Mus musculus: one gene and its partners. The protein of the gene in region 1 interacts with the protein of each later gene in a biochemical or structural test. Links are inferred from orthologs where the notes say so. Each region holds a gene or a part of one and is shown in the gene's direction. Other genes may lie near its edges. The genes, in order: Erbb2, Fgr, Abl2, Tns3, Rasa1, Syk and Supt6.

Region 1 (4,265 bases):
ATTTATAATGTTGTATTCTTTCTCTTTGAGTACCTCAAATTGATCCCCACAAACACCCCATCTGCCCCAGAATGGCTAAATCTGGGATCATTTACTGAGCAGTTATTATGTGTCAAGCACTACACTGCTGAGTGCTTCTAGAGTGTCTTCTCCTTTAGCCCCTAGCACACACAGTCTTACAGATTTGTAAAACAAGACCCAGAGATCGTCAGTCACTTGCCTAAGGTCTCACTGCCAGAATGTGATAGAGGGAAGATACGAACTCAGGTCTTCTAGATACCAGAGTCCCATGTTCTTTGGCCCCTAGCGTGGAAGTGTCTGCCTGAAACTGAGTTTCAGTTCAATGAAAGTAGATTAAGAGAGGGCCACCCTTCATTTCTCTCCCCCAAAGATGCCTCTGATTGCATCTTGACCAGCACAGGTGTGTTCTTTACTGGAACATTCCAAGTACCATCATCAGATGTAGCAGATAAAGAAGAAGGACGTAATGAAGTTCAATTTGAATTTCAGATAAACGACGGGCAATTCATCCTGGTAAACATGTCTCTTGCAATGTGTTCTTGGAGTTTCCAACCAAAGGCATACCTTTGTTTCCTTTCTCACCTGTTACCAGGCTTCAGGAGTGATATCTAGGTACTTCAGGGGTAAACTGGCAGGCGAAAAGGACAGGGAGAGAGAGGACGATGAATGAAACTGAGAACTGGGTAAAGTCAGAACGAAGTGGGCATGGGGTTGGAGAGATGGCTAAGCAGTTGAGAGCCTGTGCTGCTCTTGCAGAGGACCCAAGTTCTGTTTCCAGCACCAAAGTGGGTGGGCGGCACCCTGTAACTCCAGCTCTGGGGGATTCCCACTTCCTCTTCTGACCTCTGTGGGCAACAGCACTTATGTGACACCCCCCAAAACCCATATATGACCACACATAATTTGAAATAAAAATAAGTCTTAAAAAGAGAAAGAAACAGGAGAAGCTGTTCTTCCAAGGATGAACAGAGGGCTCCCGATGTGACTCGCTTCTCCTAGTTCTGTGGGTTCCTTTAAGATCAGGCAGGAGATACCCAAAAGGACAGAATTGATATCCCAGAGAGTCTTGGAAGTCACCAGTTAGACATAACACATTCCCTTCCCAGGCTGATTTTACCTGAGGATGTGGCGACAAACCATTTATCTGGTATTAAGAGTGTGATGCAAACGTTCCAAGAGTATCCAAGATAAAACCCACCCAAGACTGCAAAGAGGGGTAAAGAGATGCCCTGCTTTTAGGAAGTGGGTGAGAACTGCAAGCAAGCAAGCGAGGCGTCAGGGCACAGGGCGCGACGCACCCAGGCCTGCGCCGGGAGGGAGAAAGTGAAGCTGGGAGCAGCCACTCCCAGTCTTGCTGGAATGCAGTTGGAGGGGTGGGGGGGCGAGCCGGGAGCGCGCGGCTCCCAATCACCGGCGGCGGAGGAGGCGGAGGAGGAGGGCTGCTCGAGGAAGTGCGGCGTGAAGTTGTGGAGCTGAGATTGCCCGCCGCTGGGGACCCGGAGCCCAGGAGCGCCCCTTCCCAGGCGGCCCCTTCCGGCGCCGCGCCTGTGCCTGCCCTCGCCGCGCCCCGCGCCCGCAGCCTGGTCCAGCCTGAGCCATGGGGCCGGAGCCGCAGTGATCATCATGGAGCTGGCGGCCTGGTGCCGTTGGGGGTTCCTCCTCGCCCTCCTGTCCCCCGGAGCCGCGGGTACCCAAGGTGGGTCTTGGCTTGGGGAGGGCTCGGGCCGCTACGGCTGCGCCCACGGGCGGCCGGAGCCGCGGGGCCCCGAGAGCTCCACGGCCGGGCGGTCCGGGACGTTGGGACGATTCCGGCTACCGGCGCCGCGGCCCGGAGGAGATCGGAGCAGTTGGGGATGGGACAGTCACTCGGAGAACCACACTGGAGGTCCGGACCGGCCCCTTCTCGCTACACCGGAGCCTCCCGGGCTCCAGGAGACTCCGGGAACTCCTTGGGAAAGTTCTCTGAAACTAGTCGGAAAGTTTTCCTCCGGAGGGTGTGTGAAGCGCTGTGCGTGCGTGCGCCTGCTTCCCCCCTTTCGAGCCCCCCTCACGCTTTCTCAGAGCTCTTCCAGTTGGCAGCCTCCGCCTCCGGACCGGACTGGGCAGGATGCCTTCGGGGTCCCCTCTGCCCCTCCCCTCCCCCTTCCCACCCCCTCTGGCCCTTTGGGTTTAGTAAGTTACTCCAGCTTCCAGTGGGGTCGCCGTGGAGGGGGCGGTGGGGAAAGTAACCCATCCTGTCGAGCAGGGAGGACCGAGTGGCGGCTCCGCAGTTGAGTTGCCTATCGATAGTGTCTGGGATATGGGGGAGCAGGAGGAGGGGCAGGCATTTGTTTGCAACAGTTCTCTCTCATTCTCTCTCTCTCTCTCTCTCTCTCTCTCTCTCTCTCTCTCTCTCTCTCTCTCTCTCTCTCTCTTCTGTGCTGGGGATGGAACACCCCTACCCTCCATCCCAGTCTCGCCCGTGTTAGGCAAGCCCTCTATCACAGTGCTGCACACTCCACAGCCCTGTTTTGAACAAATTTCCTTAGAGCCAGCTTAAGTACTGTGTGCTTTGGGATTCCGGGAAGGCTCGGATCTTGAAGGGTGGTCTTGTGTTTTCCCGGCTTCCATACAATAAACTGGAAAGGGTTCCTGGGCATTTGGGGGCGGGGGGAGGGCACCGAAAAGGAGTAAGGTCAGCTAGGGGTAGACAGAGAGCTGGGTTGTTTTCTTGCCTTTATCTTCGTGTTGGGGGCTGGGAGGGTGACCCAGCAGTGTGTATACTGACCCATATGTCCAGTTCTACCATGAGCGTAAAAGCTGACAGTCACCCCGTGTGGGTCAGCTCTGCCAGGCTCCGTGGGTGGTGGCTTGCATGCATTCCTTCTACAGTACTAAGAACAACTCCACAGTGGAAACATTAGTAGCCTTCTCCTTGTCCCAGGGGGGAAACCTGGGCTGGGGAAATGAAGTATCCTGGAGTAACTGGTGGATCCCAGGCAATGTGACCAGCCACAGGATATGATATATGATTCACATAAATACGAGTCTAGCTGAGCAGTGCGGAGACACTGCTTCCGTAATCAGTGGGCTGTATTGAAGATGCAGAACACAGGTTCTGGAAACAGTAGGTGCTCTCCAGAGGCCAGCGAGCCTGGAGGCTGGTGGAGTATCACCATCTGTGCCCCCTTGCCCCCCTCTCCTGCCCCAGTTCCTGACAGCACACTGCTGTGCTCACTGTGGGATACCCCTGTGTGTCTGAGGTTTTTATGATGGTTGTGTGTTCCTCCCAGTTTCTGTTGCCAAACAGCAGTCTCTCTGCTGACTTGGGGACACAGGATGAACTCTGCCCTCTCTAGGAACTTCCTCAAGGCACTGGGCTCTATCTGTTGTAAACACTGGGAGATGCCCCTTGCCTTCTTCAGGATGGAGTCTCCTTTCAGTTTCTCAGGAGGCCAGCCTTCCTGCTGACTTTCCGTGCAGAAGAGTGAGGTTAGACCCTTCACCTGAGCTGGGTAGGGTCTGCAGTTGACCAGAAGTGGCCCTGTGCTGTAGAGCTGGAATCTGAAGGGTCTGCTCTCCAGACAGGGAGTGGAGGGCTGCTGAGCCTTCATCCCTTCAGATGCACTGCTGGATGCAGAGGGACAAGGCAGAGTTTGCCTTGCCAGGAATGGTTAAAAGGGCAGGGCACCATCAGCTGCCTCTAGCTCCAGGTTCGACCCCAGAACTGGTCTTGGGCAGGTGTGTAGGGGAAAGGAGATCTGGGGAGACCCAGAGGATCAAGCTGTTGCTGGGTTCCTCAGTACTAAAGGTTTTGTGAAATGCAGTAAACACAGGTCTTTAACTTGGCAGGGGTCATTCCTATTTCAATTCTAGTCTGAGTCTCTCCAGGCCCTTCCTACCTTTTGTTATACATACGGGGACTAAATAGATTCCTCTTGCAGAAGACCTGGGGCTCAGTTCCCAGTTCTCACCTGGTGGCTCACAACCATTCATAACTCCAATTCTAGATTGGATGCTTAATTCTGACCTCCACAGGCACCAGGCATGTGTGTTAGTGCAGACACAAGGGCAGGCAAGAGACACACATCAAGTAAAATTAACCCTAACAAGAAAAGAGAGAAATATATTGCATCTCAAAATCAAATGGAAAAGGCTTTCTCTTTTCTCCTGTAATTACCCAGATCCCACTAAGTGCTTGTCTCCCGTTTTAAAAACTTCTTTCTGCTTCTTACATGCCAGATCATTTTCCATAGATGGTTTTG
Region 2 (3,500 bases), on another chromosome or scaffold:
TGAACTGGCGTTTGGAATGAATGTGCCTGGTTCTGCCTGCTTTTCCTAACAGGTGGTACTTCGGAAAGATCAGTAGAAAGGATGCAGAGAGGCAGCTTCTGTCCTCTGGTAACCCCCAGGGGGCCTTTCTCATTCGGGAAAGCGAGACCACCAAAGGTGGGTTGGTACGGCAGACATGCCACCAGACAATAAGGACAGTGGGCTGGTCAGTGCTTGGGTCAGGGCCAAGTGGAGGGGCAGAGCTAAGCTGGGCTCTGGGAATTCCTTTGGGGGCCTCCTCCTGCTCTGAGGGAGACGAGAACTAAAGGACCCTTTCCACCCAGGGGCCTACTCCCTGTCCATCCGTGACTGGGACCAGAACAGAGGCGATCACATAAAGCATTATAAGATCCGAAAGCTGGACACGGGCGGCTACTACATCACCACACGGGCCCAGTTTGACTCCATACAGGACCTAGTGCGGCACTACATGGGTGAGCTGCTAAGTGTGACTGACCGTGTTGTCATGACGGGGAGACTGAGGCCTGGAGAACAAAAATCTCCTAAAGAAGTAGTGGCTGGGCCACGTACATGCGTCCTTAGGCCAGGATTCTGCTCTGTGTGGAGTCTGAGCAGACGGAGAGCAAGCAATGCCTCCTAATCTTGCTTCCAGGCCTAAGCCTGGGGAACTTTTGAAAATTTTACATTTTTTTTTGGGGGGGGGGCTCATGCGTGTCAGAGTACAACTCGTGGAAGTTGATTCTCTCCTTCAGCCAAGTGGGTCCTGGGGATGGAACTCGGGTCATTGGGGTTGCCAGCAGACACCGTCTTTACCTGCCGAGCAAAATCTTGCTGGCTTCGGTCTATTCAGTGTATGGAAACTTTGTGGGGCATTTGTTGTTCTCTCTCTCTATCTCTCTGTCTCACTGTCTCTCTGTCTCTTTCTGTCTCTCTCGTTGTGTGTGTCTAAATCAGAGGACAACTTGTGGAAGTAAGTCCTTTCCTTCTGCCATATAGGTCCCAGAGACTAAACCCGGGTGGCTAGGTTGGCTGCTGGCTCACACCTTACCTGCTGAGCCACCTTGCTGGCCCTGTTGTACTTCCTAGGCAGAGTCATTATCTATCATAGGCTCTAAGCCAGCAGTTCTTAACTTTCCTAATGCTGCCACCTTTTAATACAGTTCCTCATGGTGACCCTTCCAACGATAAAATTATTTCATTGCTACTTTATAACGGTAATCTTGCTACTGTTATGAATTGTAATGTAAATCTCTGATAGGCAGGATATCTGATATGCGACCCCAGAGGGGTCATGTCCCACAGATTGAGAACTGCTGCTCTAAGCAGTGGGTTGCAGAAGCTGATCAGAGCTTTGTGGAGACTCTCTGGCTGTTGTGTGCTACCTGGACGTCGGGGACAAGGCTGAAGGAGCGGTCCCTTGGACAGCTGCGGTCATTTTCCATGTGGTGACAGCAAACAAGCAGAAGCCAATGATTCTGAGCCTGAGCAGGAGGCAGCAAGGACCTGACCTGACCGAGGCCTCCTGTGGGGTTAAGCAGTTATGGTCCATCCAGGAGTAAAACCCAGCATGGAGACCAGGCACCTTCAGTGCCTCTCGTCCCCATCTTGACTGGTTAGGCCCAGGATGAGATCTGCGGCAGGAACGGACTCATGTCCACAGTTTCGCCTCAGAACCTTACCTCTGTTTTTACCTGTCAGAACTAGTCCTTGTCCTCAAAGACCTGGCTGGAGGCCACCTCCTCGGAAGACCCATAAAGTTTCCACGGGGGTCATCTCTCTTTTGTATACTTACTGCCCTTCCTTGGGCACAGACAAGTTCTCAGAGGGCTGAACTGTCTTCTTTCCTGGCTGTGAGCTCAAATAGGAACCTTTTTATCTTCTGTTTTTCAAGACAGGGTTTCTCTGTGTAGCCCTGGCTGTCCTGGAACTCACTCTGTAGACCAGGCTGGCCTCTGCCTCCTGAGTGCTGAGATTAAAGTTGTGTTCCACCACTGTCTGTGCCTGGCTCTTCTTTCTTTGTTTGTTTCTTTCTTTCTTTTCTTTTAATCCTGGCTTGTGAAGACAAACTGTAAACTATTTTCGTTTCTCTGGGTTTATTTATTTATTTATTTATTTAAGACCCTGTAGCCTGGGCCTGGAGAGATGGCTCAGAGGTTAGGAGCACTGACTGCTCTTCCAAAGGTCCTGAGTTCAACTCCCAGCAACCACATGGTGGCTCACAACCATCTGTAATGGGATGTGATGCCCTCTTCTGGTGTGTCTGAAGACAGCTACAGTGTACTCATATTCATAAAATAAATAAATCTCTTAAAACAAAAAGAGAGAGAAAGACCCTGTAGCCTAGGCTAGAATCAAACTCCTTTCTCTTTCCTCAGCCTACTGTGTGCTGGAATTACCAGCATGAGTATTCCACTAGGCCCTGATTATTTATGGCAGCTAAGCTTGGGGTCTGATGCTGGGCTGCGTTTCGGAGAGAGTATCCATAACTTTCCATCTGTGACCTCCTTCCATCTGCCCTTCCTACAGAAGTGAATGATGGTCTGTGCTACTTGCTTACGGCGCCTTGTACCACCACTAAGCCCCAGACTCTAGGCCTGGCCAAGGATGCCTGGGAGATCGACCGGAACTCCATAGCACTGGAACGCAGGCTGGGCACCGGCTGCTTTGGAGATGTGTGGCTGGGTAGGAGATGGGGGTGGGGATGGGGATGGAGGATGCTGGGAGGTTGTCTGGGGTCTGGGAAAAGGCACAGGACTTGCGGGGAGCCAGTCTTGATGAGTATACGGCCACTGAGCAGGCACATGGAACTGCAGCACAAAGGTGGCAGTGAAGACGCTGAAGCCGGGCACCATGTCCCCGAAGGCATTCCTGGAGGAGGCACAGATCATGAAGCTGCTGAGGCACGACAAGCTGGTGCAGCTGTATGCGGTGGTGTCGGAGGAACCCATTTATATTGTGACAGAGTTCATGTGCTATGGTGAGGGGGACAGGCAGGATTTGGATGGGTGGGACCAGGGACCTGCAAAGGAACTAGAAACTGTATAGTTCCAGGGGGTAGGGGGAGTGGTTAGGGGCGGGGACTGTTGCGGGGGGCGGGGCCTCCTCTTGACAGAAGGTGCTTAGCCAACATGTGGATATCTTTGAGCATACCAGGCAAGCTCTGGGAATGGAGAGCCGACCTGGAGAGGAGTCTAAGTGGGTCGTGTCCAGGGGTTCGGAGGTGGAGTCAGAGCAGGAAGATTGATCTAGGTGAAAGAACCGGGAGAGAGGGGGGCAAAGTGAGGCTAGACTGGCTGGGTAAGGGCAAGGCCAGTGTAAGAAGGCTTGCTGGAGGTAGGGGCTTGCTGCTGATTTTCTGGCTGCTTCCCCCTAGGTAGCTTGCTGGATTTCCTAAAGGATCGAGAAGGTCAGAACTTGATGCTGCCCCATCTAGTGGACATGGCTGCCCAGGTAAGCTGGACCAGCAGGCGTCATTTCCCAGACTTCTCTTCTATTGGCCT
Region 3 (4,280 bases), on another chromosome or scaffold:
AGGACAACTTTTACTGTCAGTTCTTGCTTCTTTTAAGACAGGGTCCCTTAGCCACTGCACATGTAAGCCAGGTTTCTGGAGACCCCCTTATCTCTGCCTCCCCCCTTCTTGTGGACCAGCTGGGATCACAGAGCTTGGGCTGGTGCATCTGGCTTTTCTCTATGACCAGTAGCTGCTTGTGTGGGTCCTAGGCAGCAAGTTCAGGTGGTCAGGCTTGCAGTGCAAGTCTTCTTTGTCATTAACCCATCTTTCCCCAGCTCCTAAGGCTCTTTAATAGTGAATATCAAAATCAGCTGGAGTGGGGGGCGGTAGTAGCAAGTGGTAGAGCACTCACCTGGAACTCAAGGTCCTGAGTTTGAGTCTCACCCACATGCACTTGTGATCTTACACCATTCTACAAAAGACATGTATGGGGAATTATATCTATTTTGCTAATTCTTTTCTTCCCCAGGGTGGTTTTCCTTGGTTTAAGCAATGGCTCCAGTCCTCATGGCACATAGGGTGTACATCTATAAAAATAGCTTCTCTTCTGTCCATTTCTCTATTTAGACCCCAGACGGTGAAGATGAGTAAGTTTTGACTCAGAAACAAGGTCAAAGTGATTTATCTTTTCCTTGCCAAAAAGGAGGGCCCAACCTGCACTGAGAGGAAAGCATGTCTGTGAGAAGAGTCGCTTTACTGTCAGGCATTTTATTTATTTATTTATTTTAAAGATTCATTTATTTATTATATGTTAGTACACTGTAGCTGACTTCAGACACTCCAGAAGAAGGCATCAGATTTTGTTACAGATGGTTGTGAGCCACCATGTGGTTGCTGGGATTTGAACTCGGGACCTTTAGGAAGAGCAGTCGGCGCTCTTAATCACTGAGCCATCTCACCAGCGCCCCACCAGGCGTTTTAAAGTAAACAGAAACACATGCGGGTAGGTCGATGGTGGAAGAGTTCAAGAGAAATCCACGGTAGTATGAAGAATTGAGTTCTAACCGCTTTGCCAATAAGACGGCAAAGTGCACATCAAGAAATAATTCACCGAATTAAGTTAACCCCGCACTTGACCATCTCCCCGTGAATTCTGTACCATTCCAAACTTCATTCTGGGCCCAATGCTAAGTGTGTGTGAAGGGCTCCTCAATTGAATGGCAGCGAAGCCCAGGGATCAGGAGCCTCAGCTGTTTGGTGCTGAGCTGCGCGGCGCACGTGGTGGCTTCTCAGCCTCTTCTGATTTGACAGGTGGAGGTGGGACGGGAAAGGCCGGGCGCCCACAGTCCTCCAAGTGGGGCAGTGTGTGGAGCCGAACGTGGGTGAAGGTAGCAGTAAAAGCACTCGAGGGCCCTCGAAAGCTTCGCTGACCCTGTGGGCCCCGGCTTCCACCCAGCGGGGCGCGGCGCGGGGCGGGGCTCCGCCGAGCTCCGCCCACCGAGTAGCGGAGGTGCTTGGGCGAGAGGGGGGCGGGAGACGCTCTGTCCCACGCTCGCCCTGTGCTCGGTGGTTTAAAGATGGCGGCGGCGGCTGGGGCGAGGAGCCGCCGGAGGGGGAGGGAGAAGGAGAGTCTGTGAGTCGCTGGGAGGCAGCGCGGCAGCGGCTCCGAGGAGTCCGCGTGGGAGCCGCCGGCAACTCCGGCCCAGAGGGCCTGGGCTTGGGCCGGAGAGACCGGAGCGGCGCCAGGAGCTCCGGAGGCCGGAGCAGAGGAGGAATGTGAGCAAGGGTCGGCGGGGGCGCGGGAGTACGCGAGCGGCGGGATGGGGCAGCAGGTGGGCCGCGTCGGGGAGGCTCCGGGGCTCCAGCAGCCGCAGCCGCGCGGGATCCGGGGCAGCAGCGCAGCCAGGCCCTCGGGCCGCAGGCGGGACCCGGCGGGGCGTACCGCAGACGCCGGCTTCAACGTCTTCACCCAGCACGGTGAGTGTGTCCGGAGCCGGTGGAGGGCATGAGGGAGGCCGGGGAGGGGTGGGGTGGGGTCGGGGCGAGGTGCGAGGCGGATGGGCAGCCTTCGGGGGGCGAGGGCTGGAGGGGTGCCCGCGAGTGGGGGCGGAATCGGCTGCCATCTGGGCCAGTCACGGGAGGCGAGGCACACCCCTCCCCCCGCCTGGCTGGCAGCGTCTGGGGGCGGCGGCGGCGGCGAGCACGAACCGGGGTCTTAGGGACCCAGGCTTGACTGTCCTGCTATCCTGGGACAGGACGGGGCGACTGTGGAACTGTGGATGGTATCCCCAGGGAGGGAAGGATGAAGGCAGGTATGAGCTCAGGTTCAGGAGGTGGGAGGATAAACCGGTTGTGAACGACGGGAACGAGTCGTGCCCTGAGGAATTGGGAAATAGGTACTGAATCTTTAAGAGATTGTGGTGGCATATTCGGTATGTGCTTTATGAACCAGGCGGTGAGCAGTGTCAGAATGGTGAACTGTGAAACCCTTTTCCGTATCTTTTTACTTTCAACAGAGTATTTTCTCCAAACTAGAAATGAAAGGCTTTGCCAAACCACCCTGTTCTGCCTATCCGAGTAGGACACAGGATTCTGAGATGGCTGGCGGGGCTGTCGATGGGTGGGCATGGTTAGGGCTTCCTTCCATGTGGTCTGAACATGAGTTTTTCTTTGAGCTGCATTGGTGTATACATATGTGCTCCGCATAGTCTGGGACTTACTCGGTGTCATATTCTTCAGAAGGGCTGTTTCTAAACTATTTAAAATTATATTTATTTTGTGTGTATGTGTATGTGCGCACACACCCATGTATGCAGAGGTCAGGAGACAACTTGGGGAGTCATTTCTCCCAGGTATTAAACTCTTTATCAGGCTTGGGGGCAAGTGCCTGAACTCTAGTAAATACAAATTTTGAGCACATACTCTTAATTTGTGTGTCTTTATTAATATAGACAAGGTTATAGTAATTAACAAATAATGTAATCAACGGTCAGAAATAGAGTATAAGAAAGGGTGCCATGAGGAAAATTAAGTATAGAGCCTTGTAAATTAGTGACAGTGTACACAGCTTATGTGAGGCCTGAGTTCAAGCCCCAGTATCGAAGAAGAAGAAGAAGAAGAAGAAGAAGAAGAAGAAGAATGAATGAATATTTTTTCCCCTTGATGCCAAGTGGATTCTTTTGTTCTTCCATAGTGTGTTGTTGACCATTTTTAAGAGCATTGTTCTAGAGGAGGGCAGAATAGAGAAGGAGAAAAATATCAGAAGCCATCCTAAGACCTGAGAGGCTGGTGATGGAGATGTAATATCTGTAGGAAGGACCGGCTAGCAGAGGTAGCAAGCTGGTTTCATTGATAATATGTACAGGAGTGAAGTGAAGGATAAACTGTCCCGCTGCACATAGCTCGGGGAAAGGGAAGGAGAAGAAGTGTAGACTAGTCACGGGAAAGGGCGTTTCAAAGGAAGTGACGATAGCATGCAAAGAGATGATCCCAAGACTTGTAGCTGCTGGGTGAGTTGTGTCCGAGTTCTGCATTTGGACTTAGGAATAGACAAATTTTGTTTCCCTTTTCCTTTTTTAATTTGTAAAAGCAAAATGTAATTTTACATGTGTGTGTGTTTTGCTGCATGTACATATACATACCTGATGCCGTATAGGCAAGGAGGAGGGCGTTAGGTCTCTTCCTGTAGATTGATGGTTGTGAGCTGCTCTGTGGGTGCTGGTAACTGAACCCAGGTTCTCAGGACTGGTTAACAGCATTCTTGCACATATGAATTCAGTTTGGGGCAAGTATAATAGTACGCAACTTTAATATCAGCACTTGGGAGACAGAGACAGAAGGGTCTCTTAAGAGTTCAGGGCCACCGGGCGTGGTAGTGCACATCCCAGCACTTGGAAGGCAGAGGCAGGCGAATTTCTGAGTTCGAGACCAGCCTGGTCTACAAAGTGAGTTCCAGGACAGCCAGGGCTACACAGAGAAACCCTGTCTCGAAAAACCAAAAAAAAAAAAAAAAAAAAAAGAGTTCAGGGCCAACCTGGTCTTACCTGTTTTCACCAGTATTCTAATTATAAAAAATGAGGATGTGTTAAAATTACCATGAAGGTTTTCAACCTGGGTAACTGGGATAATAACGATTTTATTGACAAAGTTGAAAGTTAAAAGCTGATGGATAGGATGTGAATATGGTAGCCCAAGACTAGTGTAAAAAAATTAATAAAAACTGGAAGAAATACAGTAAATCCTTTTTAATTTGGGGGGGGGGCGCACGGGTGCTCCAGGGGATTAAACTTGAGGGCCTCATCTAAGCTAGACCGGTGCTCTCCCACGAGCCCAGGCATCCAGCACAAGGAGGACTCTGG
Region 4 (3,500 bases), about 90 Mb from region 1:
CTGTCTGTCCCATCCCATGCCTGGGTCTGAGATGAGCCATCCTAACTCTTGTGTGAAATCTGTCTGAAAGCTTCCTGGAGCAAACATGGTACACGGTGTACTGAGGTTGTAAGATGTGGTTGCAAGTGGGCCAGCCTCAGGCACAGGTGGCTGACCTGCTTCAGGAATGTGCTTGCCTTGCAAGGCTAGGAAGTGTGGTTGGGAGGCACCTGGGACTCAGGCAGAGCACAGCTCCCAAACCTGGGGGTGCTGACAGGGCTTCTGTGAGGGAGTGGGAGAGTAAGTGACATCACATAGAACGTCTAGGATTCCCGCCTAAGAAGCTCAACAGAACCTTACTGCGGGGACGTATGGCCTTTATCATGAAGCACTCACTCAGACCTGGCTGCTGAGGACTACCAGGTCTGACTTAGGAACATCAGTTAGTGACATATCAGGAAAAGACTTCTAATGTCTGGGAATGTATCCTTCCTTGGGCAGCCTTCAGACTAAGTCTGAGAATAAACGAACAAAATAGAGGCTATGTGAATAGCAGATGTCAGAAAACCCAGCATGGTGGTCTCCACTGGCTGAAATACAGTCTCGACTCTGTGTGTATACCTAGGCCTGGGTTTGACATTTGTATTTCCCAGTCCAACGATAGATTTGAGCGAAGAGTTTACCAAATGAGTGAAGAGCCAGTTAGTCACTGAGCCACCTCCAGTCAATTTGAGATGAGACAGCTGTGGTCATTCTAGACTCTGTGTTCCAAAACACCCTTGGCAGCAGGATCTTCACGGGGCCATTTTCCACAAGTAGAATCCAGACCTTCAGTGGGTTTTCTCATTAGGCTGGAAGCCCCACACCTTCTCTTCCCACAGAGGAAGTGTCATATTTTGTTCCCTCTGTTTTATGTGTCAGACTTTCATGGAATCCCTGCAGGTTTGACTGCCCCTAGGAAATGCTAACATGTACTGCCGCTAATGTGTGGTGTTGATCAGCATCATTGGAGCCTAATGCAGCTCAGGATCTCTCATCATAAATGGCCCCAAACAGATATGGCGACGGTTTCTGATTATTTTCAGATTTCAAAATATTTGTACACTAATAATGAGGTATCTTGGGAATGAGGCTTAAGTCTTTTTTAAAAATTATTTCTTTATTATTTTATTTGTGTGATATTTTTCCTTGTATATCTGACTGCATAAATTTGTACATGTCTAGTATGCATGGAGGCCTGAAGAGGGTGTCAGATACCCTGAAAATGGAGTTACAGACAGTTGTGAGCTGTCATGTGGCTGCTGGGAATACAACCTGGGAGACCCAAGTCCTAAGATTAAATTCATTTACATCTCCTATAGAATTCATATACATTCCATATATTTTGAAAGTAATGTTATGCAATATTTTCCATTATTTCGTTCATGAAACAAAGTTTCGTGGTGTGGAATCTTCCATTTATGGCCTCATACTGGGGCTCAAAATTTGCCAGGTTTTATTCAGCTTATACAGACTAGAGTCTGGCAACCTCTCCCGAATCGCAAATTTAGTAGGTCTTGCTTTATATCAATTATACTGAGAGGCTAGGTCTCAGAGTGCTAAAGACAGCAATTAAGGAGAGAGATGCAGTACACAGGGTGTCTACTGACTTTAGCAGCTTGGGGCAGTGACTTCTTTTCTCCTGGTTCAGTTTGTACTTTTCCATTCAGTTGCTTCTTCTCTTTCGGTTCAGCAGCTGGCTTGAACACAAGTGTCCTGTTTACTAGCAGTTTGGTAGAATGCTGCCCCTACATAGCAGACTGCTTGTTGCTGCAGGCGTTTCTGTACCCAGCTGGCGGTTCCACCTCACCCAGAGGGCTGGCATCCTTCCAGCTCTGTACTGAAGTCTTTTCTGCCGGAGCCTCGGTGGCCTTTCCTCTCTTGGAGGAATGCAGCTGGTGCTCCAAGGCCAGGGTCTTTCTAAGCTGCCAGTTCATCCCGTCTCTGGGAGTTTCTGGAGTTCCGCCTGAGGGTGTCTGTCTCTCAGGGACTCTTAAGTCTTACTATCCACCTGCCTTGTGGCCCCGCCCACTGACCATCCCAGGAGTGGTTCTGGGAGTGGCCCAGTAGTGCAGTGGTTTAATCCTAGTTAGAGGGAGCCTTCTTAAGTGTAGCCCTTAGATTTGATATCTGCAGGAGGCAGATATAAAAGCTTGTCTGTCTGTCTGTCTGTCTGTCTTCTATATAGTTCTCTCTCTTTTTTCTCTACCCTCGATCCCTACTTTGATTCTCTTACATTTTAAATTTAAAACAATAAATTTTTATTCTTCCCGCAGCTGGAGATTTGTCCAATGAACTTGTCCGGCATTTCCTGATTGAGTGTACCCCAAAGGGAGTGCGGTTGAAAGGGTGCTCAAATGAACCATATTTTGGTGAGTTACTTGAGAAGCTCTTTTGAATTTCTAGAGCATAGATTCCCTCCTTCAGGTGGCTTGAGATTCGAGGGACTCTGTACCACAATGGGTTTCTCTCCTTTCAGCCCCAGGGTGTCAGGCTGCCACGTGAGGTCTTTAAGATAAGCTGAAGGGGCAGTTGTTCTTTAGAAGCCTTGTCAAAAACCAAATAAACGGAAGGGATCCTCCGAGAGCTAGAATAAGACAAGGTGAAGGTCAGCAGCTGGGTCCCAGCAGGGTTGGAGCGCAGTGTGTCCCCATGCCTCAGGCACAAGGAGGAGGAGCACAGTGCTGCCACCAGAGCTCCCCCTTCTTTGTGAATTGAGAGCCTTCTGGATAGACCGGGGCAGCCTTGTTTCCTACTCGTAAGAAGCGCCCCGGCACTTCGCACTTATAAAGGCCATATGCTTGGCATACACTACAGGTCCCTCCATCACCCTCTTCATTGGCTTGGGCCTTGTCATTCTTGGAGCTTTGAGTCACATCCCACAGTGGTATAAAGGCATGCGTTTTTGGAATTTTGGTCTCAACTGATTCTTTGGTTAAGCACAGAGCAAGTGAAGAGATTGGTGACATTCATTTACTCTTATCCACTTTATAGGGAGCCTGACGGCTTTGGTGTGCCAGCATTCCATTACGCCCTTGGCTTTACCCTGCAAGCTGCTCATTCCGGAGAGAGGTATGTGGAGGAGTTCTCAGTGCTATCTGGCTGCGTGTACGATCTTCTGTACCGCTGATAGCATGCTGTACCCAGGACCCACCTTACAAAATAAACTAAGGTTCTTTTTTTATGACATATACTCTTAAACCCCAAAGAAAACTAGTGGCCACCTGAATTGAGAAAGAAGAATGCCCTGCTGCTGATAATAGCTTTCAGACATTGCCCATCGTGGCCTGTATGGAAGGTGTCCAGAAAACAAAGACTGCTCAGCTTAAAGATGTAAAACACTTGGGGTCTGGAGAGATGGTTCAGTGGTTAAAAGCACTGACTGCTTTCCCAGAGGTCCTGAGTTCAATTCCCAGCACTTACATTAGGCAGCTTACGACCATGTAAAACTGTAGTTGTAGAAGATCTAGTCTCCTTGGGCA
Region 5 (3,500 bases), on another chromosome or scaffold:
TGTGTTTTTTCCCTAGGTGGTATCATGGAAAACTTGATAGAACTATAGCAGAAGAACGCCTCAGGCAGGCAGGGAAATCTGGAAGCTATCTTATAAGAGAGAGTGATCGGAGGCCGGGGTCCTTTGTACTTTCATTCCTTAGTCAGACAAATGTTGTCAATCATTTTAGGTAAGTCTTTGTTCCTAGTTTAAGGTATTTAATATGGCACTTAGTATTTACTCTGATATATATATATATATATATATATATATATATATATATATACATGTACATATATATATATATATACATGTACACACATATATATATATTCACTTTTATAAAAGTGAATGACTTTGGTATAATAAACTTGATTTCAATTAAATTCTTTAATCAGTGATTTAGAGTAAATACTCTTGACGTGTTTAAACTTTTTGTTTAAAGGTAGTAATATTGAATGGGAAAGCGCTTAATGCATCCGGGCTTGGAGATCACAGATTGAAATGTCTCCTGCATCACATAATCTGGAGGTTACATCTGTCTGTGACAACAGGGAGTCTCTTTATGCATTCTTCATTCACTACAGTTTAAGTTGACAATTCCTTCCCAATAAAAATTCACTTACACCTCCTGCCTTTGTTAGCTTTGTGATAGAAGTAGCATGTTGCTGCCAGAATACAAGCATTGCTTTGGGCAAATTAAAATGCACGTCCTTTTTTTTTTTTTTTTTTTTTTGGATTAGTATTTCTATTTATTTATTTATTAGATATTTTCTTTATATACATTTCAAATGCTATCCCGAAAGTTCCTTATACCCTCCCTCTGCCCTGCTCCTCTACCCACCCACTCCCACTTCTTGGCCCTTGCATTCCCCTGTATTGGGGCATATAAAGTTTGCAAGACCAAGGGGCCTCTCTTCCCAGTCTTAATACACTAGAAAGGAGAAATAAAGTACACAAGTCCAAGTCTAAACTTTAGTACTTTTCCATGCAGATTTGTGCACATGTGAGAGGGTATCTGGTTTGCCCAGCAATTATTCTTTAGAGACTTGGACCACTATGTTGGGTGTTGGCTAATCATTGACTGTAGTCCCAAAAAAGCCTTGTGAAAATGTTATGCCCTATGCAGCAGCAGAGTACCATAAAATAAAACTACATTTTATAACCCCCCCAAAAAAGGTAGTAATATTGCCTTTTACAATGGCAGTTTTCAAATATATGTACAATTAAGGAATATATTACTACAGATACATTTTGAAAAGGTAAAAACTAAAATGAAAGATGTATAGATTGAGACTGTAGAGTAACAGAAAATACTGTATGGACGTTGAGGTTGTCCTTAGTTTTTTTTTTAAGTCTCACTATCTTGAAATTCTTAAGATACATTTTCACTTCTGTGAGATAAACAGGTATGTAAAATTTCAAAGGTATATCTATATATAAGTATACTTACCGATACTACTGCATTTCATTTTTGTGAAATGAAAATATGGGAGAAAAATAAAACATAAATCATCTGTAGCTAGTTTTAACTGATAAAATGTTCTTGTGTCTTTACATTTTAGAATAAGTTTTAAGGGTACTGTCATTGTTGTGATAAGTTCACATATATAATTTCACATCAGTAATATCCGATCATAATTTTTATGTAACATTTTTATTACAGTTCACATAAATTTCAAAAGATATGCAAGCTACTTGTAGTCAAAGAAGCCCTTATACAATTGTTGAGTATTAAAAATAGAAAGTAAAGAGAGATATCTGAGGGTAAATTTTCAAATATTTGATTCAACTACATAATTGAGGCTTGTAAATATGTCATATCAAATTCATAAATATTTTAAAATAATACTCAATTTCTGATGATATAAATATGTATTTTTAAAATATAGAAATGTTATATTAATGGAAAAGAGTATGAAATTGATCATATTCAGAAAAGAGACTATAAAAGACTGGCTTTTAAGATCCTTTGCAAACTATGTTTTTTGTTTTTATTTATTTATTTGTTTGTTTTGTTTCATTTACTATAGGATTATTGCTATGTGTGGTGATTACTACATTGGTGGAAGGCGTTTTTCTTCACTCTCAGACCTAATAGGTTATTACAGTCACGTTTCTTGTTTACTTAAAGGAGAAAAATTACTCTATCCAGTTGCACCACCAGAGGTAAGTAAAACTCGCATGATATATCACAACTTTTAGTTTACAAAATCGATGGATTGTAATCTTACCAAATTTCTTACATGTATTAGAATTTAATAAATATTTGTTTTAATTCTAGTTATAATTCTAGAACAAAAAAAATGATAGTTTCCTTCAAAACTAATATTTGTATTTAAGTAACTGGACTTTTAAAGATAATTTTGTGTTTATAGCTTATAATAATTGCTAGAGAAGGTAAATGTTTATATCATAAAAGGTAGATTAATTTCTATGTTCTCTGTAGCTTATTTAAGGATTGTTTAGATTACCCGAAGAAAATGTGTTATGCGTGTAGAGTAATTTTTCTAAAAATATCAAGGAAGAGCAGAAACATGTCTAGGTTCTATGTAGATGCTCAGTAAAGATTACAGTGACTATGGAATTTATAGTATGCAGCTATATTGACTTCAAGCTTTGTGTGAATTTATCTTTTTTGATTTACAGAAACAATCTTCTTTTGTGTGCATGGGTGTTTGTATATGTCTGTGACTGTGTATACAGGCTTGCATGTGTGTCAAGGAAGGAGTGCACGTGCAAACTTATTACTGGTGGCTAGAATTTGACAACATGTCACTCTTGATTGCTCTCTACTTGATTACTTGAAGCAAAGTCTCTGGATGAAACTAGAGCTTTTAAATTTGGTTAGTTTGGCTTGATCGTTTGCCTCAGGTACCCCTGTTCGTTCCTCCTAAATGCTGGCATTACAGGCAGCTGCCATACCTGTCATAACTTTTATGTGGGCTCTGTAGATCCAGCTTGGATTTTCAAGCTTGTGAGACTGGAGATTTAGCTATGGAGACATGAAGCATCTACCAGCTCCTAATTATTTTTACTTTTCATGGTTTCAGCCAGTAGAAGATAGAAGGCGTGTACGAGCCATTCTGCCCTACACAAAAGTACCAGACACTGATGAAATAAGGTATTTTATAGTGTTTTTTTATGTAGCATTTGAAAAGAGGTAGACAATGAAGATTCATTGCTTTTAAACTTGGAAAGATTTTGAATTTGAGAGAATATTATAGGCATATAAAGTTGTATTTAATACTCGATCTGTTATTTTCCCATGGGATGGCTTATCTATTCCCAAGGTTTGTATCAGTGTGGCTACAGTGAAAATTACAAGAGAAAAACTAGATTATTTTTTTAAAAAATTCTGAGAAAGTAGAGATTTCTCTCATAATTTGTGTGCTTTTATTATCTATATCTATCAATCCTACTCTACCTAATCTACCTATGTTCTATCTGTCTGTCTGTCTGTCTATCTATCTATCTATCTATCAGTTTGTTTTTATTCCCCATTACATTTATGCCTCAGC
Region 6 (3,500 bases), on another chromosome or scaffold:
GTGGCCCGTGAAGTGGTACGCCCCCGAATGCATCAACTACTACAAGTTCTCCAGTAAGAGTGACGTCTGGAGCTTCGGAGTCCTGATGTGGGAAGCGTTCTCCTATGGGCAGAAGCCCTACAGAGTGAGCCATGCTTAGCTGTGTGTTTTGTGTCTCAGCCTCTTGGACTTAAGAAACCATCCCTCAGTATGGGGTTATTGCCACAAGAACCTGAACCCCTGGAATCTGAGGACACCCTGGGGTCTCCCATCACCTTCTAACAGTGGGCGGCTAGTGCAACCTAACTTACGCTTGTACTCACTTGAGAATGACATGTGATACTGAGTGAATGCATTCTCACTGTGCTACACACATACGTGCACCAGGCACAGGCCATCCTTCCTGAGAGTTAAGTGGAAATGGTGATACGGATGGATGACATCAAGTATTTTAGTTGTAAGCGTGTGTGTTCTCATGTGTGTGCACACCTGTGTATGTGCAAACACATTGTGTGTGTGTGTGTGTGTGTGTGTGTGTGTGTGTGTGTGTGTAGCCCAGAGACCATCCTCAGGTGTCATTCCTCAGGGACTCTCCACTTTGCTTTTTGAGACAGTGTTTTCATTAGCCTAAGCTCACCCAATAGGCCAGGCTGGCTAGCCTGTGAGCCCCAGGGATCTGCCTGTCTCTCTACCCAGCACTGGGCACACAAACATTCAATACCACGCTTGTATTTTTACATGGGTTTAGGGGATTTAACTCAGGTTCTTGTGTTTGCAAGGTGAGCACTTTGCAGCCTGAACTATCCCATGTGTGTGTGTGTGTGTGTGTGTGTGTGTGTGTGTGTGTGTGTATAGGAGGTGGGAGGTGTGGGGGTTCCTGGGTGCAGGCAGATCCTAGGGTGTCACTCAGTGGGTTGTCACAAATGAAGTGTCCCATAAAGCTCATTCCCTAAATGAAGAATCAGAACAGAAACTCTAGAGCCTCCCCTCTCCCCTACACACCCAGCCCTCTCACTGGGCAGCCACATCTGACTCTCGGATTCCAGAGGAGGGGCCCCTAGTCTTATGACTGATGTCGCTTGAAATCAAGCAGCTTGTGTCTGTGTCCCAGTGTGTCTGCAGGTGAGGTACTCTTGTTTGTATGTGTTTTGAAAGCTTGTGTGCATTTTCACGTCTCAGGGGATGAAAGGGAGCGAAGTGACCGCCATGCTGGAGAAAGGAGAGCGGATGGGGTGCCCTGCAGGATGCCCGAGAGAGATGTACGACCTGATGAACCTGTGCTGGACTTACGAGTGAGTGCCCAGCCCTTCCTGCCATCGACCCGAAGGTTCCAGAAGTGGGCTGTGTGGCTGCTGTCCTTGCTTCATTTCTGCCGCTGTGATAAAATGCTCACAAGAAAGTCAGGGCGGTTGAAACTTAACCCATTTGATGCTCTCACAACACATCAGAGAGCTGTGCACAGTTCCGGTGCTCAGTTCTCTTATCTCCTTTCTTAGAAAGTCCAGGATTCCCCGGTCCAACAGCAACCCGTGGTAGCCTGAGTCTTCACACAATCAAGCCAATTCCCCAACAGGCCAACCTGTTGGAGACAGGCCCTTGTTGAGCCTCTCTTCCCAAGCCGTTCCAGACTGTGTAGAGTTGACAATTAAAACGAGCCACAGCTGCTGTTATGGAGTTTGTGATCCCTGGGAAGAGACCACAGGCTCGATCCAATTATAATTAAAAGCTGTATCGATTAGCTGCCAGCAGGATGAACAATCTCTGAGCCAATTTTTGAAATTGCTGTGAAGGAGGGATATGAGGAAGGGTTTGTTGTTGAGGGTTTTTATTTGTTTGTTTGTTTGTTGTTTTTTAAGAGGAAAACCATGGAAAGACCTCCCATATCTAAACAGGCAACCAAAAATTGGTCTGTTCTCCCAAGTTAATTGGCCAAAGCAACTCAAAACAATCTTCGGGTATCTGCATAAGCAAGTTACAGAAGCTAAAAAGGCAGTTAGTCATGGCATGGCAAGTAGCCAGTCACATCTGTACCCTTTAGGGTGGAGATCACAAGTCGGGGTAACTGGGAATGTATCTTCCAGGGACTGGAGTCAGAGACAAAAAACACCTAGAAGGTACCAAGATGGATGCCTGATTTGAGCCATCACACTGGGTATTAAAATGAAGCGTGAGTTCTCTTGATGCATCAGGAATGTGCCACCTTCTATGTAAATCATCACAGGAGGCGGTGCCAGAGATTGGCTGTGTTACTAGCCAATCATGGTGTTTCATGGCAGGCATACTACTATATGCATTTTGTAACTGTGGGGATGTCATAAAGCATACGTAAGCAAACTAGGGCAGCTGCAAAGTCGCCAGCTGTTACAATCTTATGAGACTGTGATGTGGATTGGGAGAAGTCACAGAATCCCAGATGTCAACTCAAGCATCTAGAACACTCTTGCCTTCCACAAACTCAGACATGTCTGGGAGCATCACTGCTTCCAAGAATCCTAACATCGAGGCTAGATGCTCCTGCTGACCACAGACAGCTCAGTACCAGAAGTCTCCCGATAGTGGTGCAGAGTTGCCACTTGCCACGTTCACCACTGCTCAGCCCATAGGGTCGGAAGCCCCATCCCTATTCTTGGGTACAGTGTATTTTGCCTTCCCCTCCATCCCCTGAGCAGGACAGACACCGTGCACGTGGTGAGAGCGTGAATCCACTGTGAGCCACTGGGCATGCTCTGCCCTACCTATGGGAAGGATCCCAGCCACCGTGATAAAGCTGTTCGGTGCTAGTGAGGCACTCGATGTTAGAAAGCTGACATTGAATGTAGCCATACATTTTTTTTGCAACGTATTTTTAATAAAGGTTCAACCTCCCCTCTAGCCCGCCACTCAGCAGAGGTAGCAGAAGATAAAAGTTATTCGGCTATGGGGGAAGTGGACCTGTTCAGCAATAGTTCTTTGGGGGGCGAGCTTGATCCTCTTGGGCAGCAGCTCAGCCCTGTAGCAAACACCAAATGTGATTCAGCAGCTGCAGACCAGTCCGCTAGGCAGGCAGACACCAGGCATGAACCAGCAGCTACAGTTAAGTCTTTTCATCGCTTGCTTTCATCGCTTGCTTGCCTCAGCATCTAACCTGTAGGCGACAGCACAGACTTGCTGGGCAAAGACTTAGGATGCACAGGGTTGGGCTCTGAACCAGACCACAGCCACAGAAATCTGTGAGTTCTAGCAAGAGCACAAACCAATACCCCCTCTCCTTGAAAGTCCAGCTTGAACGTGGGTATGGTATATTACAGCTGTGTCCATATTCTCCTCTTAAGATTTTTAGCCAAGGGACTAAGGAGATGGCTCTGTTGGTAAAGAGTTACTGTTGTGTAACTCTAGGGACCTGACTTCAGTCCCTAGTACCCATATAAAATACACCAGGCCTGGTGGCAAGTGCTTGTGGTCCCAGCACCAGCAAGGAAGATGGAGACAGGAAAATCTCAGATGCTTTCTGGTCAGCCAGCCTTGCCAACTTGACAAGTTCT
Region 7 (4,056 bases), about 20 Mb from region 1:
AACTTCTGTTGTTTTGAGACAGCCCCCACTATATAGGCTAGGCTGATCTTGAAGTTACAATCCTGCTTCAACCTTTTGAGTGCTACAATTACAGACCTAGGCCACCACGCCTGCCCATTAGTCTTGTTTTATTGTTTGATTCACTACTGTATTTCCTGTATCTAGAACAATACGAGACACACTAAAAGTGCTCTTTAAATCTAGGCCAAATGAATGAGCCCACGAATAAGTGAGTATTTTAATTGCACATGATAAAAAACAGACTTTCCTCTGCAATGTCTGTCAATGCTTAAATTCTTTACAAGAAAGTTATTGCTAAGTTAGAGTGTCAAAAAATATGAGCTAAAAATAGGTGACATTTAAAATCTGAGATTCAGCTTATGTTGTCTTGCTCTAAATGCTCCTCTCTCCAGCACAAAATAGTGGCAGCCCATGGAATCTGAAAGATTTTGAACCTGCACAGATTTGGATTAAACCCTGTCTCCATCATTCACTAGCTGGCTTTGAGCAATATCTCTAGGTCTATTTACTCACCTAAGAAAATAACTTTAGTATCTGTCCTCAATACAATGTTAAAAACCGGAAAGTATATATGTAACACGTTTGGCCCACAGCTCATCAAACAGAAACTAACATTAGGACTAAGTTTCCTTGGCAACTCGTCGTCCTCTTCAAGAAATAGGGCACGGCTAACTTTCCCAGACCACGCCCTCAGACTCCGAGGCCCCGCCCCTTCTAGGCTCACCCGGCCTAGGCAGCCCACCCAGAGCGGTGAGTCCCCCTCTGTACCTGACCCATAGCGCACGTCGTGAGAATGCAGTCGGACATTGTGGCGTGTATTGAGTAGCTTCACCACGGAGCCGCAAGTAACGACAGCCATGTTGGACGCTCCCACAGCGCTCCACAAACCACCCAACAACAGAAGCGACAAGACAGCCATCCTAGATCCGAGAGAACTAATCATCCAAGAAAATTAGGCCCGTCCCCGGAACCGGAAGCCGAGGGTAGAACTACGCCAAGATGGAAGAGAAGACTCCTTAACCTGAATCTTTATGGTTCCTTTGGCGAGAGCGGCTTAAAGAACACGCTGGCCCGGGAGGCCTTCGGGACCTCACTTTGTACTGGGTGCTCTGTGGCGGCTGCGTTCCTTAGGCGTTCGCGGACTCGGAACCAAAGCCCTAGACGCCGGAGGGGAAAAGACAGCAGGAAATGACCCTCCCACTCCCAGTGACAGAGAGCCGGAGGTGACGTACTACGTTAACGCAGCAGCGGCGACGGTGGTGGTGGTGGTGGCGGCGGCTGCGGAGGGCCCTTGCGGTGGGTCCGGACTATCCTTTTGCAGTCTCTGATCGGCGACTCCATTTTCTTCGGTGGGAGCTTAGCGTAGCGGAGAAGCAGCGGCCTTCAAGCAGGTAACGCTCAGCCTGGAGAGTGTGTTGCGTGTGTGGGTGCGCAGGTGGCGAGCCAGACTCCTGGGGCCTGGTCCCGTAAGGGAAGAAGCTTTGGGGTGCCCCACTGCGGGAAGGAAGGGGGCCCTGGCTTTCCCTGATCTGCCAGGGGGGAAAAGGACAGGAAAGTACCGTGATTGCTCAGAGTCTCCAGCCCTTTCTCCACGCGGTACCACCCGGAACCTGTGACCTGGGGTTACCTCTTGAATCAACAGGCTTTCTGGGATCCCATCTTCTCCGCGGCGTCTGGAATCTGGGCCACGCAAAAAATTGGGACTAGAAGAGAGACCTAAGGGTTTCTTTACTTGGCATCAGGTGATCGGATTAATTAGTCCGGCGTTTGGGTCCTGCTGAGCTTTCGAGAGTTCAGCCATGAGGCGGGTGTACTGTGCTGAATGTTAGCTCTTTACAAAATGTTGAGTAATTATACGGTTTTTTTTCCACATATGGGCAAGTCCCTTAATCCTTTCTAAAGATGCGAGTTTATACTTAAGTACCTGGAGCCTTCCATCTTGTATAATTCATTTCCTCGAACACTTGCCAAAGACCTATCATAAATATTAGAATTGGTTGTTAAATCAGAAATGTGTATTGTTTGACATCAGGTACTCGAGTATCTTAAGTAAAGCAGTTCCTCTGTATTACAGAAAGAATCGATTTCTGTTTTCCTTTAGGAGGCGGGTCTCCTGTAATAATTACATGAAAAGACACGGTAATACAAAGGTCATAGGGTAATTTGTTTTTCATCCCGCCCCACTCCATTCCCGCTGCTCCCCTTCTTCAGAATCCTCCATTACTTATTACTTTCATTAATTTGTGTGTGTGTGTGTGTGTGTGTGTGTATGCCTCAATTAGTTAATTTATGGTGGTTTACAAGTACATGGGTGAAGAAGTATTCAGAGAAGCCTGGGCTACAACCCTAAAGAAAATGTTCCCCTCCCCCAGCAACCATGAATTACTATCGATCCTTAGGGTTGGTGGGATCTCATGATGAGCCCCTCCCCCCTAGCAACCGTTAACTGCCCATAAACCTGTAGGAAGGGAGGAGCCTGGTCCCCCTCCCCAGCATTGAAGTATGCTACAATGTGTGGAAGTCGTTGAATTTAATTAATTTTGGGGAGAAAAAGTTTAGTTCTATTGTTGAACACTCACAGTTTGTGAGTCTTCAGTGTTTTAGTTACAAAACAATTATAGCAACAATGGAGAAGCTGAGCCAGGAGGATCATGGAATTTACGTTTTGGTTGCATTTGTAGACCCTGTCTCAAAAACAGCTCTCCCTTCAACCACGAGTTTAGAGCCCCTCTCCATGCCTAGTGTCCCACCACTACAGGCTTATTTTATTTGGTTGGCTTGTGTGACTATTAGATTAGACTAGATTAGATTGGTAAAGTATTTTTTGTTGTTTTTATTTTTTTCAAGACAGGGTTTCTCTGTATAGCCCTGGCTGTCCTGAAACTGACTCTGTAGACCAGGCTGGCCTCGAACTCAGAAATCCGCCTGCCTCTGCCTCCCAAGTGCTGGGATTAAAGGCATGCACCACCACTGCCTAGCTTAGACTGGCAAAGAATTAACACTCTCCAAATGAACTTAATCTTACTTACCAAGTGATATATCAAGCCAGAAAGTAGAACAGTCCTAAAATCCAATCAAAGCTTATTTACTCCCTCTAGTTCTTTTTTTGGTTTTTGAAGACAGAATCACTCTTTCTAGTTGTCCTTGAATCCACAGAGATCTGCTTCCTGAGTACTGGGGACTAAAGGCTTGTGCCACCACCATCCAGCAATATTCTTGTTCCTAATAAATGTAATCACCATCTGGGTCGGGTGTGATCACTGGCTTCCTCACAATGATTTCCCAATATCAATCACCAAATCCTATGTTTCAGAAAAGACCAAACCAAACCAAACCAAAAAAAAAACCAAAAAAAAAATCAAAACCAAAATTCTGTTCTAATCTCTCTGAAAGGCCACTCCAGCCATCATCTTCCTTGACAGGTAGCCTAGGCTGACGTAGGAGTTGTGGTCACTCCGCCTCAGCCTCCCCAGTGCTAGAAGTATAAACATGTGCTGTTACTACTAAGCATAGCTTCAGCACCCTAATTTTAAGATTTTCATCCTATAGTCAGGTTTCAGTTTATACCAGTTCAACTTTCTTACCTTTCACCAGGACTTTAGTTAATACCAATCTGACTCTCCTTGGAACTGCTCACCAAAATTATTGTGGACACCAGAAGCTACTAGGTGGCCAAATCCAATGGTTACTCTGTTTTCATTTCCGAGTCTCTGGACTAGTACAGTTGCTAATGCTTGGCTCTTGGATTTTACTCTATTGAACTAGCTGCTCCTTTTTAGTCTTAGAAAAATGACTGCATTTTTATGTAGTTCTCCTGTATACGTAGTTGAGTGGCAGGTATTTTTGCTGGCTGAGTCGTCTCACTGGCCTTTGGTGTGTGTGGGCTGCCTTACTTCTCCTTAGGCATACTGCTAGTTCCTCACTCCCCAAAGGTTAAAGTTAAAAATATAATCATACTGATCAAACTAATGCCCATCAGTCCTGGATCCGAGCAGTCCTCTTTCCTTAGCCTCCACGTAGCTGGGGCTGTAGACA

The links.
Region 2: the proteins of Erbb2 (region 1) and Fgr form a complex in vitro, tested with the Homo sapiens proteins (2 studies listed by BioGRID and IntAct, with this or other methods). The link is inferred for Mus musculus from reciprocal best matches to the Homo sapiens genes ERBB2 and FGR.
Region 3: the proteins of Erbb2 (region 1) and Abl2 form a complex in vitro, tested with the Homo sapiens proteins (3 studies listed by BioGRID and IntAct, with this or other methods). The link is inferred for Mus musculus from reciprocal best matches to the Homo sapiens genes ERBB2 and ABL2.
Region 4: the proteins of Erbb2 (region 1) and Tns3 form a complex in vitro, tested with the Homo sapiens proteins (2 studies listed by BioGRID and IntAct, with this or other methods). The link is inferred for Mus musculus from reciprocal best matches to the Homo sapiens genes ERBB2 and TNS3.
Region 5: the proteins of Erbb2 (region 1) and Rasa1 form a complex in vitro, tested with the Homo sapiens proteins (2 studies listed by BioGRID and IntAct, with this or other methods). The link is inferred for Mus musculus from reciprocal best matches to the Homo sapiens genes ERBB2 and RASA1.
Region 6: the proteins of Erbb2 (region 1) and Syk form a complex in vitro, tested with the Homo sapiens proteins (2 studies listed by BioGRID and IntAct, with this or other methods). The link is inferred for Mus musculus from reciprocal best matches to the Homo sapiens genes ERBB2 and SYK.
Region 7: the proteins of Erbb2 (region 1) and Supt6 form a complex in vitro, tested with the Homo sapiens proteins (2 studies listed by BioGRID and IntAct, with this or other methods). The link is inferred for Mus musculus from reciprocal best matches to the Homo sapiens genes ERBB2 and SUPT6H.

What each region holds. Positions count from the first base shown.
Region 1 is NC_000077.6:98,411,019-98,415,283, forward strand, and holds the start of Erbb2 (receptor tyrosine-protein kinase erbB-2 precursor), read left to right. Parts: upstream 1-1,465; 5' UTR 1,466-1,644; coding exon 1,645-1,717; intron 1,718-4,265. UniProt on the Homo sapiens protein: Protein tyrosine kinase that is part of several cell surface receptor complexes, but that apparently needs a coreceptor for ligand binding. Essential component of a neuregulin-receptor complex, although neuregulins do not interact with it alone.
Region 2 is NC_000070.6:132,994,595-132,998,094, forward strand, and holds part of Fgr (tyrosine-protein kinase Fgr), read left to right. Parts: intron 1-52; coding exon 53-156; intron 157-323; coding exon 324-473; intron 474-2,526; coding exon 2,527-2,682; intron 2,683-2,797; coding exon 2,798-2,977; intron 2,978-3,373; coding exon 3,374-3,450; intron 3,451-3,500. UniProt on the Homo sapiens protein: Non-receptor tyrosine-protein kinase that transmits signals from cell surface receptors devoid of kinase activity and contributes to the regulation of immune responses, including neutrophil, monocyte, macrophage and mast cell functions, cytoskeleton remodeling in response to extracellular stimuli, phagocytosis, cell adhesion and migration.
Region 3 is NC_000067.6:156,557,307-156,561,586, forward strand, and holds the start of Abl2 (tyrosine-protein kinase ABL2), read left to right. Parts: upstream 1-1,480; 5' UTR 1,481-1,742; coding exon 1,743-1,899; intron 1,900-4,280. UniProt on the Homo sapiens protein: Non-receptor tyrosine-protein kinase that plays an ABL1-overlapping role in key processes linked to cell growth and survival such as cytoskeleton remodeling in response to extracellular stimuli, cell motility and adhesion and receptor endocytosis.
Region 4 is NC_000077.6:8,444,536-8,448,035, reverse strand, and holds part of Tns3 (tensin-3), read left to right. Parts: intron 1-2,294; coding exon 2,295-2,390; intron 2,391-3,012; coding exon 3,013-3,090; intron 3,091-3,500. UniProt on the Homo sapiens protein: May act as a protein phosphatase and/or a lipid phosphatase. Involved in the dissociation of the integrin-tensin-actin complex. EGF activates TNS4 and down-regulates TNS3 which results in capping the tail of ITGB1.
Region 5 is NC_000079.6:85,254,987-85,258,486, reverse strand, and holds part of Rasa1 (ras GTPase-activating protein 1), read left to right. Parts: intron 1-16; coding exon 17-169; intron 170-2,012; coding exon 2,013-2,148; intron 2,149-3,032; coding exon 3,033-3,103; intron 3,104-3,500. UniProt on the Homo sapiens protein: Inhibitory regulator of the Ras-cyclic AMP pathway. Stimulates the GTPase of normal but not oncogenic Ras p21; this stimulation may be further increased in the presence of NCK1.
Region 6 is NC_000079.6:52,641,882-52,645,381, forward strand, and holds part of Syk (tyrosine-protein kinase SYK), read left to right. Parts: coding exon 1-124; intron 125-1,158; coding exon 1,159-1,271; intron 1,272-3,500. UniProt on the Homo sapiens protein: Non-receptor tyrosine kinase which mediates signal transduction downstream of a variety of transmembrane receptors including classical immunoreceptors like the B-cell receptor (BCR).
Region 7 is NC_000077.6:78,242,904-78,246,959, reverse strand, and holds the start of Supt6 (transcription elongation factor SPT6), read left to right. Parts: upstream 1-1,256; 5' UTR 1,257-1,412; intron 1,413-4,056. Other genes in the region: Sdf2 (stromal cell-derived factor 2 isoform 1 precursor), read right to left, coding at 790-964.